Arabidopsis thaliana: one gene and its partners. The protein of the gene in region 1 interacts with the protein of each later gene in a pairwise test. Each region holds a gene or a part of one and is shown in the gene's direction. Other genes may lie near its edges. The genes, in order: ZFHD1, RD26, HB21 and AT4G08570.

Region 1 (3,959 bases):
CATATTTGTGACCACGTCTCTTTAGAGACAAATTGCTTACGGTAGTTATCGTTTTTTATCTAGTCTTTGTTTCTGTTTATTTTTCTAGTAGTGAATTTTAGCATTTGTTATTTATCTAATTAAGTCTTACTTTGTGTCATTTACCTACTTATTCAATAGGTATATACATAGATAGAAACGTTACGCAAAAATGACCCCATGATCATATGACATTTAAAATTTCGGCTACAAATGACTTTTTCTCCAACCTTAGTGGCCGGTTTGCGGGATGCGCGTGCTATTTCGGTCATTGACAAGATCGTTAGGAGATTGTTCTAATCCGTCTTTATGATTCTAATTGTGATACGAGTAAATAAATTGTTAAATCAAAGTCTCTGTCAACGAATTATTAGTAAAACAATAAATACGTTTATTTAATTATTTTTATTGTATGGTCAAATATCTCCCGATTGTTGTAAATTGGATTCTAATTAAGCGTGATTGGTGACTAGGTTTATGATAAACGACAAAACGTAACACCAACTGTTATTCATTTATTCTCCTCGCAAACAATGCTTTAATTAGTCTCATTTCAGGGATCAGACTCTTAACTATACATTAATGAATAATTTATATGCCTTTCAATAAGATTTTAAGTTAATTAAACGAGTATCCAAAGCTTAACGAAATGAATGTTGATGTCTGATTTGTTTTGTTACTTTAATTCTAAAGAGTAAAGACCTTAGTAATTATAATTAATAACAAAATTAGCCATGCAGTTTGATCTTACCAATAACATTCACATGTAGTAACATTGTAACTTATAAGAAAAGGTTCATCATTTTTTTCATGAATGGATCATCATAAAAGTAACAATAACTAGTCACAAAATGTTCCTTCAATTTTTATTTTTTTGATAGAAACTATATTTGTTGTAAAAACAAACCCTATAAGAATCGATATGGAAAATGGCTAATGAAGATTCAAAATAATTGTGGGGTACTTAGAAGAGGAAGACTTGAAGACATACACCACATAATTGTGACCCAAAAGCTAATCAATAACGTAAGCAAAATGCGAAAGAACACTAAATTTCGGCGCCACACTAATGACAAGAAGTGAGAATAAAAGGTCGGTAAGAGATAAGAGTCTTTCCAAAGGGTGGTTAAGGAATTTAGACATTTAAATTTCATGATTAATTACGAAACATGAAGTTTGGCAATTGTCACAACAAACTCTTCTTTGCTCCACGATTGAGTCAAGTATTAAGTATTCGTGCGAAAGAAGTTCTTTTAGAGGTGTTTTCGGTAATCTACAAAATCTTCTAGTTGTTTAGCACTTTTCCTTTTGGAACGAATTAGTACATTAGCATAAGTCAAATATTTCACTAGAACACGTAATACCTATACTAGTAAGAAATTTTATTGACTTTATTGTTTAGTTAGATTATCGTTATAGGAAAATTTACGATTTTAGACCTCTAGATAAGAAAATGGTCCCTAAACAGAATCAAAATTGAAAAGATTAAAACGTTTTAGTATAAAAATGCAGGGGTGATACAGTGAAATTAACAGAAGTATGGGGTGGTAACGTAAACTCTTAAAAATAAGAAACTGTAATATGTACAGTGGAATATGAAACTGCAGGGCAGCTGTAATTGTCCTTTAGTACGATGCATGTAATGGGCTATTGCCACGTATACACTTTGGACTCAAATCTTCCAACTAATCCCATCCTCTCCTTCGAATATATTCGATTAATTAAAATTTTATGTCACGCTCAGAAATTATTCATCTTTTTTATTTCTTTTACACAACAAGTTACCCACTGGTGAAAGTGAAAACCCATATCTTACAAATGTCCCGTAAAATCATTGCTTTCTGATAAGACCTCAGATTCAATATTTTATACAGGTTCAAAGTGTATAGTCTGTCTATATAACGTATGAATAGATATCAAAACTAGTGACTAAAATATTCAAAAAAATCTCTGTTTCACCAAAACAAGAAAAAAAAAAAGTAAAAAAGAAGTTGTGAATTTTCATTGATATACAGTGAGTGTTTTCTTTCTTTTGCTGTATGTTTTGGACGTTTGTGAGTAAGCACTTATTATTATTTTCCAAGTCCTAATTATATTTCATCACTGCCATGTTCTTTACCGATATAATTACATCATCGTCACATGCACTTACATAATTATCCTTTTTTAATAAATAAAATAAAACTACAAAACCTAATCTTCTCATTAATCACAAAAGCAAAAGATTTAAGTAAACACACTATAAAGACAGAACTAAACAAAAGCTATGGATTTGTCTTCCAAACCACAACAACAACTTCTAAACTCTCTTCCCATCGCCGGAGAACTAACTGTCACCGGAGAAATGGGTGTTTGTTACAAAGAGTGTTTGAAAAACCACGCGGCTAATCTCGGCGGCCATGCTCTCGACGGTTGCGGCGAGTTTATGCCGAGTCCCACGGCTACTTCCACCGATCCTTCTTCTCTCCGTTGCGCTGCTTGTGGCTGCCACCGTAACTTCCACCGCCGTGACCCTTCCGAGAATCTCAACTTCCTCACCGCGCCTCCGATTTCTTCTCCCTCCGGCACTGAGTCGCCGCCGTCTCGTCACGTGTCTTCTCCTGTTCCTTGCTCTTACTACACCTCAGCTCCTCCACATCACGTGATTCTCTCTCTCAGCTCCGGTTTCCCTGGACCGTCAGATCAAGATCCAACGGTGGTTAGGTCAGAGAACAGTTCAAGAGGAGCAATGAGGAAACGAACAAGAACCAAATTCACGCCGGAGCAGAAGATCAAGATGAGAGCCTTCGCAGAGAAAGCTGGTTGGAAAATCAACGGATGTGATGAAAAGTCGGTGAGAGAGTTTTGTAACGAAGTTGGGATTGAGAGAGGAGTTCTTAAAGTGTGGATGCATAACAACAAGTACTCACTTCTCAATGGCAAGATCAGAGAGATCGAACATGGCCTGTGTCTGAACACTCACAGCAATGATGGTGATGGGTCTTCATCTTCTTGAAGAAAGATTCAAGATTCGGGTTAAACCGAATTAGGATACTTTAATTTGGGAAAATATGAGCATTAACCGGTTTAAAATCATATAATAGTGTCTTTTCTCTAACATGTAATCGATCTTGATATAAATATTTATGCGGTTTGATCTTTTCTATTTTCATCACTTTGACAGAGATGTGGTCAGAGATCACAAATGGGTTTGGTAATAAATAAGTTTTTAAATCGGAGGTTGAAACGAATTTTGATAGACCATTTCTAATTATAGTAAGTGCATAAGCGCTAATTGTGATCGTAGAGATCAAAAGATTCGTTTCTTTGTTTACTTTCTGATTATTCAATGTTATCTTCTGTATTATTAGAAATAAATCTCCTGAACTTTAGAGATAGAGTAAGTAAAGTTTGCTTAATGAAGATACGACGACGTGGTTATTACGAATTGCAACAAACTATGGCGTGGCGGAATATAATTAGGTCACTGGGCGGCACATTTTTGTTGTTAATTTATATGATATGATTAAAAGTTATTAAAATGCTGGCTTATCTCTTTCCATTTAGGGATAAGCTTTGGCAACACCAATCTTGCTTATTTATCCTAATTAAGTACAATGCAGATGTTACGATTACTAAAATATCTACTATGTGCAATGATTTGGCTCTTCCCGCACCACTGATATTAAAAATTCGTTTTTTTTCTTTCATTCATCATGTATTAACGAATCATAGCGAATGCTTTATCACGTATAAATGGTCGTAAGTTCAATGCCGGAGACAAAGTATTTTACCATGTATGTACGAAGTAACGAAGCCCAAGCCTTAACAAAAGGCCGGTACGAATATCCATGCCAGATAGATCAATGTATGCAAAAGCTCTATGTAGATACGAGTAACTGCATGCAATGATTAATGATCAATATATGGTACACAAATTGTTTAACATGCATTTGGCGGAT
Region 2 (3,597 bases), on another chromosome or scaffold:
AAATAAATTCATTGAAGAATTTTTTGAACAAGTTTAGATTATGGCAATCTGTTCTTTACCTCATTGTCATCAAAACCATATCTCTTAATTTATTTTTTTGTCAGGATCATAAGAGCATTATACGCTAATTGAATAGCGATTGATGAGTTTCTTATCAACACATTTTGCAGTTATGCGAATCGTTGAACCAAACTTGTCGTATCTTTGCTGATATTCAGAAATTATTATCTTACAAAAGAAATGGGTGGGCATGTCCATCTCTCTGTGAACAAGAATTCTCCACGTTCACTAAAATCTAAAAATCCGAAAAGCAATTGAAAACGATTTGTAGAGAATAATAATAATTAAGAACAAAAAAAAAAGAATTATCAAGAAGAAGAAGAATCGAGTTCTTTGAATCGCGTCACATGTTTATATATAAAAAGGCTTCTCTGACCTGTTCAGCATGGTCCAAATATTCACTTGTCAACTTCTTAGGCCATTTCTAGTATTTCTTGAGTGAACGAAACCCTAATTAACCTCTTTTTGTTTAAATATAAACTAAAATATATGAAATAAGTCTTTTATGAGATAATCATTGAAATATATATAAAAATCGAATTTAGTTGTTCTGACAAAACTTGAAATTTATCCTTTAATCAAAAACAAAGAGACTACTTGCTACATTTGTGAGATAATCTTAATGGTATAATACAAACGATCATATATTCTCAAATGTTATTATCTTTAACTAAAAAATATTAAAATCATACTATTAGTGTTCTGTATATACGTGTCTTATGTTAACGTATCTTTTCAATTTATTTTAGTTAGAACTTTGTAGTTTGTACACTTGTTCAATATTTTCTGCTGTTTTTATTATTACTTTTTCTTCTTTTTTGTCTCTTTTGATTCTTTTATATTGAAGTCTTGCCTAACTCTCCCAACACGTGTACAATTCACACGGACGGGAAAATGCATTCCACGCGTGTCTGATTAATACTCTTTTGTTCATAAAAACGTCTTAGTGCCATTTGTTTTACTCAATAGATTTATCTGTCAAATAGTTAGTGCTTCTTCTTTTCTTTTTCTGACTCCAATCTATGTAGTGATCGAGTGCTTCAGGACAAACTAAATATCGAACTGGCCTCTAATTATTTGGAGCATTTTGATACACATCGTTGTTAGGCTTTTGATCAAAATTCTAGAAGAAAGGACAACTGGCTTAACACGTGTCGATAAACTTTAGCTTTTCCTGACGGTTCATGCACCCGAACGGCACCAATATAGTCGAATATAGAAATAATAAAGCTTCATTGCTTTCTCAGTGGAAAAAAACTTACTATAATTAGAATATTTCTAGTAAATATTTAGACATTTTACATGTCACGATGGAATAAGAAAAAATAAATTACTGCAATCACTCAGCGGACTTTTCTCATAATCGTAGTACACAAATTTCTTACTCATGAGAAAATTTTCCTCGTGTTTTTTGCACATTTATATCGCTGGAAAATATTGTACAACACATCGATAAGGTCGGCCAGTTCATAGACGTGGCAGTATCTAAATGGTTAAACGGGTCCACAAAGAAAATCGTAATTAGATTTTAGAACAGTAAGACAAGGACGACCGTACTTATCCTTGAAGAACCTTTGGCTTTTCCGTAGCCTATATAAACCAACTACTTACTATATTGTCCAAAAGATCGACGAACATAAAAACAAAAACATATAATTTGGGTTTTTAGAGTTCGAAACTTGAAATCTTTTTTTTTTTGGTTGCTGAGGAATCGAAGTAGAAGAGTATAAATGGGTGTTAGAGAGAAAGATCCGTTAGCCCAGTTGAGTTTGCCACCAGGTTTTAGATTTTATCCGACAGATGAAGAGCTTCTTGTTCAGTATCTATGTCGGAAAGTTGCAGGCTATCATTTCTCTCTCCAGGTCATCGGAGACATCGATCTCTACAAGTTCGATCCTTGGGATTTGCCAAGTAAGCAAACATGTTTCACATTTGTAGGGTGTTATTTTCAATTGTCATACTTTTGGGTTTAATTTGAGAAAATGTTAAAACTAAAGGGAGTATAATTGTAACTATTTAGGTAAGGCTTTGTTTGGAGAGAAGGAATGGTATTTCTTTAGCCCAAGAGATCGGAAATATCCGAACGGGTCAAGACCCAATAGAGTAGCCGGGTCGGGTTATTGGAAAGCAACGGGTACTGACAAAATTATCACGGCGGATGGTCGTCGTGTCGGGATTAAAAAAGCTCTGGTCTTTTACGCCGGAAAAGCTCCCAAAGGCACTAAAACCAACTGGATTATGCACGAGTATCGCTTAATAGAACATTCTCGTAGCCATGGAAGCTCCAAGGTAAATAAAGACTGAAACTTTCCCAGATCCAAATTCGTTAAAATTGAAATCAAAATCTGATAAAGTTTGCTTCTTTGTTACAGTTGGATGATTGGGTGTTGTGTCGAATTTACAAGAAAACATCTGGATCTCAGAGACAAGCTGTTACTCCTGTTCAAGCTTGTCGTGAAGAGCATAGCACGAATGGGTCGTCATCGTCTTCTTCATCACAGCTTGACGACGTTCTTGATTCGTTCCCGGAGATAAAAGACCAGTCTTTTAATCTTCCTCGGATGAATTCGCTCAGGACGATTCTTAACGGGAACTTTGATTGGGCTAGCTTGGCAGGTCTTAATCCAATTCCAGAGCTAGCTCCGACCAATGGATTACCGAGTTACGGTGGTTACGATGCGTTTCGAGCGGCGGAAGGTGAGGCGGAGAGTGGGCATGTGAATCGGCAGCAGAACTCGAGCGGGTTGACTCAGAGTTTCGGGTACAGCTCGAGTGGGTTTGGTGTTTCGGGTCAAACATTCGAGTTTAGGCAATGAGAGAGATGTGAAGTTACTGATGGGTGAAAAAAGTAAAAAAAAAACTTGGAGATAGTAGAGTGGCAATTGATGTAAATAATAGGGATTTATATGGGGCTTTTACCGATTCGGTGAGGCTTAGGATTCCACAAAGGAAAAAGGCTCGACTGGGGACTAGTTTGATCCAACTTGACGGCCCACAAATGTGTAATGTTTCTCAACGGAGAGAAAAATAAATGGTTACCAATATTTTTACACCGGTTATGTGTTGATACCATTTGCACAAAACGGTTTAAGTTCTGAATTGAATAACTTAACACCCAAAATTTGGTAAAAAGCTTAATACAAAAAGTTCAAAGGCATTTTCGCTTACTGCGACACTCGGAGTTGCAGAGTACTCTACGTAACAGACTCTGTTCATAGAGTTTGCGGCACCGGTGGTGGGACATTCTTGCGGACACAGTATGTACTTTTGGAAGCATCGTTCCTAAGGGTTGCTGCAGTAAACTCCTTGTGACTTGGCTCGCAAGAAACATAACATGGCCGCAAGAAAAAACAGCATTAACGAAGAGGTGTTTGAGATCTTCATGTCTAGTTTATTCTTCCTGTTTTATTATGTGTCGACTGGTGTCAAAAGAAACGTGTTGATTGTGAATTTGTAGACGCCACTCTGTAAATTTATTTAAAATAAACTATTTTACTTCACGTTGAGATCGGGAGTTGCCGGGTTTGTGTGCCTTAT
Region 3 (4,606 bases), on another chromosome or scaffold:
AAAGTAAAAAATATCGATTGATGTATGTACTTTTTTGTGTATTAAGGTGTACGTACACTGATTTTCGTGGTTTTAAGCATTTTTTTTTCTTCGTTTTAAAGCTTAACTTTAACTCATTTGAATATATAAATTGGTTATGTAAACCAGGAATCAAACGTTAGATTATCCATGATTAACCGAATACTCTAATTATACAAATAGAGTGTATCATTGTAACGGAATCTTTAAGAGGAATAACAGAATAATTTCATCTTCTTCGTTTTTTTTTCAAATTCTCGTTCACTAATATGGTATCATAGAGTTAAGTTTTAAAATCTCAACCGATTTGACCTAAATTTCATGGATCTTTGAGATTCTTCTTCTGTAGATCTCACTGAAGTCTCGTTCACTAACAATTAGCCATTTTTTCCACAATATATATATTTTCTATATTAAAATTATATATTTTATTTTAATATATCTATATATATATATATATATATATATATAACATTAAGTCATATATATATCTAAATTATTCAGAATGTAAAACAGGAAAAACAATTATTCAAAATGGGTAAAGATATAATCTGGGTATGTCAACATTTGTAAAAACGTTTTCTAAGAAAACAAAACAAAATAGTTGTTCAAAATGGGTAGAGTAGTTTGAATTTTAAGGTATATGTATTAAACCCAAATTTTGAAGGTTACTTTGTTCTTTGAATATAACTTACCACGGTTTTACATGGATTCTATATGCAGAATATTGTTATTTATTTATGAAATGTTATTTTTACAGTATGTACATATGCATACGTATGTTCAAAATATATGTTGATCATTGCTAAAAAGAAAAACGATTACCTCGTATTTATTATTTTAAACTCTGAATAACCTAAAATGTGTTTCCATTTTGGCTATACAACAAAATAAACGTTAACATTAACGTAGACCATATATGTTTCGAGTTTAAAAACCGATTAAAGAAAACATTTGAAAGAGTGAGTAAAATTATTAGTATACGAGAGATGAGAGTAAAAGTAAACTACCTTTTGAAAGACAAGTCAGTTATGTTTTCTCTTTTAGGTTGTTGCTTAGACTTATCCATATGATGGTGATAACGACATCCTCTAATCCTCTCATCACACGTAAATTAAGCTTTATCGCATTACATATTTATAAATGATAATTACATGTATTTCCTTTAGTTTTTCAAAGGCGACCTATATATTGATTATTGCTTTGGTTTTAAAGACTACGTACGTGTTAATATCCATACCTTAAGAAGCATTTTAAAAATGGAATATGTTTCATAAGACTTTTTTTGTTTTGATAAGAATTTACATGAACTAATTAACTTGTTTATGCTTCTTAAGATAATCAAGGGTTTGTATGTCAAAACACACACTATTTAGGAGCTCTAGTAATTAAGTGAGTTTTGGTTCCAAATTGCCAACAAAGTGTAAGATCTACAACAAAGATCGAATAAATTAAACTACGGCGGTTTAGTTGAAAAGTTATTGAACTATAGGCTGCATATTTTAGAAAATTCCTACGTAAACAATATATCCGCATTATAAATTTTCAATTCTAGTTAAGATTTCTATTTTATATATAAAAACATAAAATGATCCATTTATCAATTGTTACCAAATTATAAAAACATAAAATGATTTTATAGTCCAAATAATATTGGGAGGTTGTTTATTCTTTTTTTTTTTTTTGGTCTCTTACTTATTGTCACATGAATTTGACAAAGAAAATGATATTGTCAAGTTAAAGTCATGTATTTTCAATATGAAACAATATTAACTATTAAGATATTAACGAAAGTGATGTACATATGTCATTTGAGATCTACTACTAGTCTTGATTTGCTAAGTGGCAATAATGTTATTTGAAAGAATCATAAGCCCAAATCCGGAAAAAAGAAATATGTATTAGAAAAAAAAAAACTCTAATCAAACCATCCCTTGACACCTACTCCTCCTTTATAAATGATAAGTCCTCTGCTTCTCCTAACACATCTTCTCTTATTGCAGAAAAGGTGAGACAAAAAACATCACCAATCTTTTGAATCTAAGAGAGAGAAGAAGAAGAAGGTCTAGAGAACGAAAAGAAGAAACATGAATAACCAGAATGTAGATGATCATAATCTTCTACTCATTTCTCAATTGTACCCTAATGTCTATACTCCATTAGTACCACAACAAGGTTTGCACATCCTAAAGTTCCATTTTTTTGTTTTCATATATTAAAAAAGACATCCAAAATTGGTTATAGAAATATCTTCAAGTGGGTCTTCTTTATTTTTGTTCTGGATAATATGTTTGTCTTCTGTAGTCTTTTCATTTTCATATACGTACATGATACTAGAGAAGACTTAAAAGAGCTAAACATTTAAAGAATTTATGTTTTGTTGTACCATTGGTTTTGATGGGTTTCTTTGACCAGGAGGAGAAGCAAAACCAACACGGCGGAGGAAAAGGAAGAGCAAGAGTGTTGTGGTGGCAGAGGAGGGTGAAAACGAAGGCAATGGGTGGTTTAGAAAGAGAAAATTGAGTGATGAGCAAGTAAGAATGTTGGAGATTAGCTTTGAAGACGATCATAAGCTTGAATCCGAGAGGAAAGATCGGCTTGCTTCTGAGTTAGGGCTTGATCCTCGTCAAGTCGCCGTCTGGTTCCAAAACCGCCGTGCACGGTGGAAGAACAAACGAGTCGAGGATGAATACACTAAACTCAAGAATGCATACGAAACCACCGTCGTTGAGAAATGTCGTCTTGATTCTGAGGTACGTTCTCACATTTTCTAAAAGATAAGTAAATTATTTGGTATTTTGGTTAATAATCTTTAAATATAATATAGTTATAGCTTTTATTTAAGTTGATCAAAGATAAAAGTTACCCGTTTTTCTCTTTTAATCAAGAGTTCCTATTTGTGAACATAAAATATTATAGTGTTTTACCAAAAAATGTTGTTATTTTTTTCTATAAGGTATAAAGATATTTTCTAAATTATATTGTTTTTACAAGATGATGGACACCAAGTGAAACCATCACGTAGTATAATTAAGCAAATGAGAAAGAAAAATCAAAATGCTGATTGAATTTTAAAGTTTTTTTTTTTGTTACCTTCTATAGCTAAAATAGTAATATATGTAAACTAATAATTGTAGTGTAATTATCTTGGTTCTATAAAAGAAAATCATACAGCAAAGTGAACAGCAAAAAAACAAAAGTGTCATTATATGTAATTATCTTTCCGTACAAACACCCTTTGTTTTCTAGTGGTTACTCGCTTGTCTAAGTCATTGACTCATTGGGTCTCTCTTATCACCAGCCCCACAAAATAAAACTCATCAAATCAAACTCTAATAATAACATGATTAGCTGTTAATGGGAAATGATTATCTCTAAATCAAATCAAATTATAATTTCAGGTTATTCACCTAAAGGAACAACTTTACGAGGCTGAAAGAGAGATCCAACGGCTTGCAAAAAGAGTTGAAGGAACTTTAAGTAACAGTCCTATCTCATCCTCTGTGACCATTGAAGCCAATCATACGACACCGTTTTTTGGAGATTACGACATCGGATTTGACGGTGAGGCTGACGAGAACTTGCTCTACTCGCCAGATTACATTGATGGATTAGACTGGATGAGCCAATTTATGTAAAAAACTATAAGCTAATCTATTTTCAGTCGTAGTATAGTATATAAATATATAGGGGTTAATTGTGACAATTACATTAATTTATGATTGGTCGATATCTACAATGAAGCAGGATGTAGATAAAATTATGGGCCTATTCGCTAGTGTAATATTGTGGATATCTTTCTCGTAGCATCGATTATTTAGGTCGATGGAGGTCAAGTTTGGACCCAAGAAAAAAAGAATGTATATATCTGTCAATTATAAGTAAATTGTATATTTCTATTGATCTAGTTATAGAAATATTAAGCATAAATATTATCATTCATGTGAATGTCAAAGCATCCAAATTGTATTCAGTACTACATTCACATCGTTAAACATATCTTCTAAAATTAATACCCGGATAACCAACAATCTAACTAACAAGATACACTTTAAAAATTGGATATGTTGAAAACAAAAATGCTACAATCAATCAACAAAACCGTATAACCAGTTTGAGAATGTATTACGAATTTTTCTTTTTTTATAAAGAAGAATTATTTTGTTATTCCTATTTATCATGTAAAAATATAAGTTATTTAAAGAAATTGAGCTTAGTATTAAGAATTGCGTATGTCAATATTTTGATATTTTTTAAGTCGCATATTTTACATTATGGGGAAGAATGTTCTTTTATTTGCAGTGAACGTCTCCATTAGCAACTTTACGCATCATCAATACGTGATAGTATGATACGTATAAGAATTTGTACGGTTTAGAATACGGACTATTGGTCATTGGAATCTATAGCCTGATAGAAACTAAAGCATGTCTTCTTGTCAGGTTGCTAAGTACGTGTTTCAACATGGACGGTGGACATATGTTTTTTATTTCTTTAAAGAACGTTATATGAGCTATATAAACTATGTGGTGCCTTTTAAGGACTTTTTATCATGCATATTTAATTGCATGGTGGAAAATAAATGGCT
Region 4 (3,997 bases), on another chromosome or scaffold:
CGAGCCAAAATGTATACTATAATCTTTGGCTGTGTTCAACGAAAGCAATTATGGACGAGCGCGGTTCCCTCATTTATTACTTAAATTGTAGATATTGCTCCATGTAAGAATATAAGATACTGACTATATATTGACTAATGTATTACTCCAATTTAACGGAAATAAAGGTGACACATGTACTCAATCAACAAGATGAGTTATTCATAATGTAATGAAATGGGACATATCAAAACTTGAGTGGTAGAGTTGCTGCCTCTTAATTACAAACAGTTTGAAAGCAACCCCTCCTTCTAACTAAATCTGATATTGCTCCTTATTATAGAACATGTGGTTGCAATTTTGTGCACACATATAGAGTTTCTGATGATTTTATTCATTCACCATAAATTGTATTTGGTATAATGATTGATGCGAGAGATCACTTCGTAATAGTGGATGTTTTCTTCAGATAGTCGCTACATGTTGAATTGTGGTAAGCTTATTTCTACTAGTAGTGTTATATAATCTCAATGAATTGTATAGCAACAGGTGGTACTTTAAAATACATATTTTGAAAACAAAACTTCTCATCGCATCAACAATTCTACTTTGACTTTGAGCCAGATGTCTTGGCAACAAATCGGAGTTTACATGAATGTCATTTTCATTTGTATTTTTGTTTACATATTATTGTCAATTCATTTAAATTTTAAATGCAACTGACCCCAATCAAAAACTTGGATCAATGTCTACCGTTGAAACATGACACACAATTACTAACTGCCATGTGTCCTCCAAAATTGATAAATCACTCCTCAGTTATTTACGTCTGCGTTTAATTTTTCAAACATTTGACTGTTCCCTATCTCATAAGTCATAAACTAATACTCATTATCTTTTGTTATTTCCCACTTTTTGAATTAGTAGATTTTAAATAATAAAAACGAGACATGGTACGCTTACAAAAAAAAAAATTATGAATGCCAAAATGCAAAGACTGGTAAATATGTCACATATATTTTATATAATTATTTCAAGTTAAATATTTTTCTTTTTTTTTTAACGTTTTTTATGGACGTCTTAAACTTTCCAACATATTTCTTTTTTTTTTTAAAACTTTCCAACATATTTCTTTTTTTTTTAAAACTTTCCAACATATTTATGATTTGGAATATAGATTACCTCCATCAAAATTCATATAATATAAATATATTATTTATTTGTTTTATTTAGAAATAAACAAACAACGATCGGCCAAAAAAACAAAAAAACGAGAAAAACTGAAAAAGTATTCGTACGTATTACCCACCCAAACTTGCATGGGTTATATATAAGGGTGTGTTGGCAAAATAGTCACTTTTTCATACTTAATTAGGAAAGTAGTCATTTTACTATTCATAATTTGTAAAATAGTCATTTTTTGCTGTTTGATTCGTACACTTAGATTGTACATCACTTTTAGTGTACAAATGTAAAGTGTACGCTGTATATTTTTATATATATTTGTACACTAAAAGTGGTGTACAATCTAAATGTACGAATCAAACAGTGAAAAGTGACTATTTTACAAATTATAAATAATAAAGTGACTATTTTTCCAATTAAGTTTAAACAAATGACTAGTTTACAAATTAACTCTATATATAATGGATTAAATGCCAAAAGTTTCATTTCACCTCGGTGGAAGTTTCTTGCACCCTCCACGAGACCCCAAAAGCAATTAATGATCTTTGTTTTGTTCTTTCAGAAGCAATAATGTAATCCTATTTTATTTTGTTTTTACTAAGCAAAAGAAAAACAACTCAACAAATAAACAAATAATCTGCTATTGTCACATGAGTCACATCTCCTTTACTATATGAAATGCGCTCACTGTAGATAAATGTAATCTCATCCCTGCACCATATATGGTACAAAGAAAGAGCCTTTCTTCCTCACTTTTATCTTCACTCTCCTTGAACATATTTTCCCTCTTAATATCTTCAAGGAAAAAAAAAAAACTGCAAAGAGAAGTGGTGTGAGTGAAAATGGGAGTGGAAGGAACGATGGAGTATATATCAGACCTTTTAAAGAAGAGGAAGAGGAAGAAGAAGAAGCAAATGCAAACAGTAGCTCTCCGTGTTGCTCGTATCGACTGCGAAGGCTGTGAACGTAAGATCAAACATGTCCTCTCCGGTGTCAAAGGTAAAGAAAATCAGTTTTAGCCAACCATCATGATAATGGTTAGAGATTTGCCATGTTGGTCGAAACCACGGATCAAATTCATTCCACTACTTTTGTACATGCCCCGTCTAAAGCATAGAGCCATAGACAAAGAAAATCATTAATATATGATATATCTAACATTTTTTAAATGCCAACTTTTATTTTAAAAAAGTAGATTTTTCTATATATGTACAAAAATAATATGAATGGGGTATAATTAAATTTTAAATCTCGAGTGGACATATTGGCATTACAATATGTGTTTTTGAATATATATAACACTACCAATTTATATACTCGTTGGACGATAGAAAATGTGACATTTAACAAAAAAAAACATGAAAATTGGATTTAATTTGCATTGGACTCGTTTGGACAGGGGTGAAGTCAGTGGACGTGGACGTAAAGCTGCAGAAGGTAACGGTAACGGGATATATAGACCCAAAGAAGGTTTTGGAGGCTGCCAAGTCAACGAAGAAGAAAGTGGAGTTATGGCCGTACGTTCCTTACACAATGGTGGCGAATCCGTACATATCTCAGGCGTATGACAAGAAGGCACCACCAAACATGGTTCGGAAAGTCCCCGACACGGCCTCTGTCAACGAGACCACCGTCGATGACTCTTACACTATTATGTTTAGCGACGAGAACCCTAATTCTTGCGCTATCATGTAGAAGAGTGTGCTTTTGTAAATTAATTAAGTATATGGCTATAGATTATATTATACTATTATATATTATCGGTTTTGGTAATAGTACCTACGTAAGAGTCGTGGTGTACGGGTTTGGCTTTACAACTATTACGTGAGAAAATCGAGATTTCTTAACACTTATAAGGAATTTAAATAAGAGGTTTTATAGATAGCTAAATTATGTTTTGAAATATTCTGCTGATGAGTGGATGATATATAATTCATTCGTTTAGAGTATATTCACTTTTTATTTTGGATAACTTGGGTGTGATCCAGTTCAAAGGATACCATAAACTCCGAGTCAAATCGCGGAGGCTTTTTTCCCAAGCTGGTTCTCGGGTCAACGAGTCATGAGCAGAGCGTGCCTAGGTTTTTGGTGGTCTTAGGCAAATAAGGAAAAACATTTTATACATATTGTGATAAAATGTCTGATAATGTATAATTAAATTTAACATATTTTTCAATAATTCCTGAATTTTTGCTTTCACCGGATTATCGGGTACTCTTATGAAATAGATTTTCGATTTAAGCTCGGTGTTCACAAGTTGGAGAAAAAGTTCGGTATATCTAAGACTCACTATATACTGATAATTTTAAAGCATATAAGCTAAACAAATATATGGTGACATGTGTTTATATAAAAAAAGATGATACATTCGGTTCCTCAGTAGCTTTAGCTTTGCCCTTTGATTGGCCCTTATAACTTAATGATGGAGTTCCGGTGCTTCCATTTTTTCTCTGTTTGATCCTGATTAAAGAAAACAGAGACATCAATCAAATAAACTAAAGTAAAATGAATAAGCCAAAAGCAAAATTATACAAGTGAATCAAAATATCGAAACTAAACGTAGAAGACCAAGATTGTGTTTATAAGTAGAGAGGAATATTATCTTTCACTCATGATTGACTACCAACGACTGTTTTTTTAAGAAAAAAAGGTGTTTAGTTCATAATATTTTTTGTGAAGATAAATCTTGATGGAAAAATATATTTATAAGAACTGATATTAGATGTTGGTTTTGATAAAATTAAAATATGAAATATTCAAAATAGTCAAAGATTGAGCTGATTTAAAGGAACTTATATAGTTGTTGTTTGTGTAATATCTTATATTCGACCGA

What was found.
Region 2: the proteins of ZFHD1 (region 1) and RD26 interact in a two-hybrid assay, tested with the Arabidopsis thaliana proteins (one study listed by BioGRID).
Region 3: the proteins of ZFHD1 (region 1) and HB21 interact in a two-hybrid assay, tested with the Arabidopsis thaliana proteins (one study listed by BioGRID).
Region 4: the proteins of ZFHD1 (region 1) and AT4G08570 interact in a two-hybrid assay, tested with the Arabidopsis thaliana proteins (one study listed by BioGRID).

What each region holds. Positions count from the first base shown.
Region 1 is NC_003070.9:26,180,186-26,184,144, forward strand, and holds ZFHD1 (zinc finger homeodomain 1), read left to right. Parts: upstream 1-1,970; 5' UTR 1,971-2,284; coding exon 2,285-3,013; 3' UTR 3,014-3,361; downstream 3,362-3,959. UniProt on the Arabidopsis thaliana protein: Transcription factor involved in the up-regulation of several stress-inducible genes. Acts as a transcriptional activator by interacting with MED25 and NAC proteins. Involved in increased drought tolerance.
Region 2 is NC_003075.7:13,707,207-13,710,803, reverse strand, and holds RD26 (NAC (No Apical Meristem) domain transcriptional regulator superfamily protein), read left to right. Parts: upstream 1-1,790; coding exon 1,791-1,999; exon of another isoform or gene 2,000-2,057; coding exon 2,058-2,349; intron 2,350-2,432; coding exon 2,433-2,876; 3' UTR 2,877-2,904; downstream 2,905-3,597. Other genes in the region: AT4G27415 (uncharacterized protein), read right to left, coding at 118-252. UniProt on the Arabidopsis thaliana protein: Transcription factors that bind specifically to the 5'-CATGTG-3' motif and with bipartite regions with 5'-CGTr-3' and 5'-YACG-3' as cores.
Region 3 is NC_003071.7:8,048,713-8,053,318, reverse strand, and holds HB21 (homeobox protein 21), read left to right. Parts: upstream 1-2,002; 5' UTR 2,003-2,105; coding exon 2,106-2,193; intron 2,194-2,433; coding exon 2,434-2,771; intron 2,772-3,419; coding exon 3,420-3,656; 3' UTR 3,657-3,948; downstream 3,949-4,606. UniProt on the Arabidopsis thaliana protein: Probable transcription factor.
Region 4 is NC_003075.7:5,453,985-5,457,981, reverse strand, and holds AT4G08570 (Heavy metal transport/detoxification superfamily protein), read left to right. Parts: upstream 1-1,881; 5' UTR 1,882-2,006; coding exon 2,007-2,163; intron 2,164-2,563; coding exon 2,564-2,859; 3' UTR 2,860-3,402; downstream 3,403-3,997. UniProt on the Arabidopsis thaliana protein: Heavy-metal-binding protein.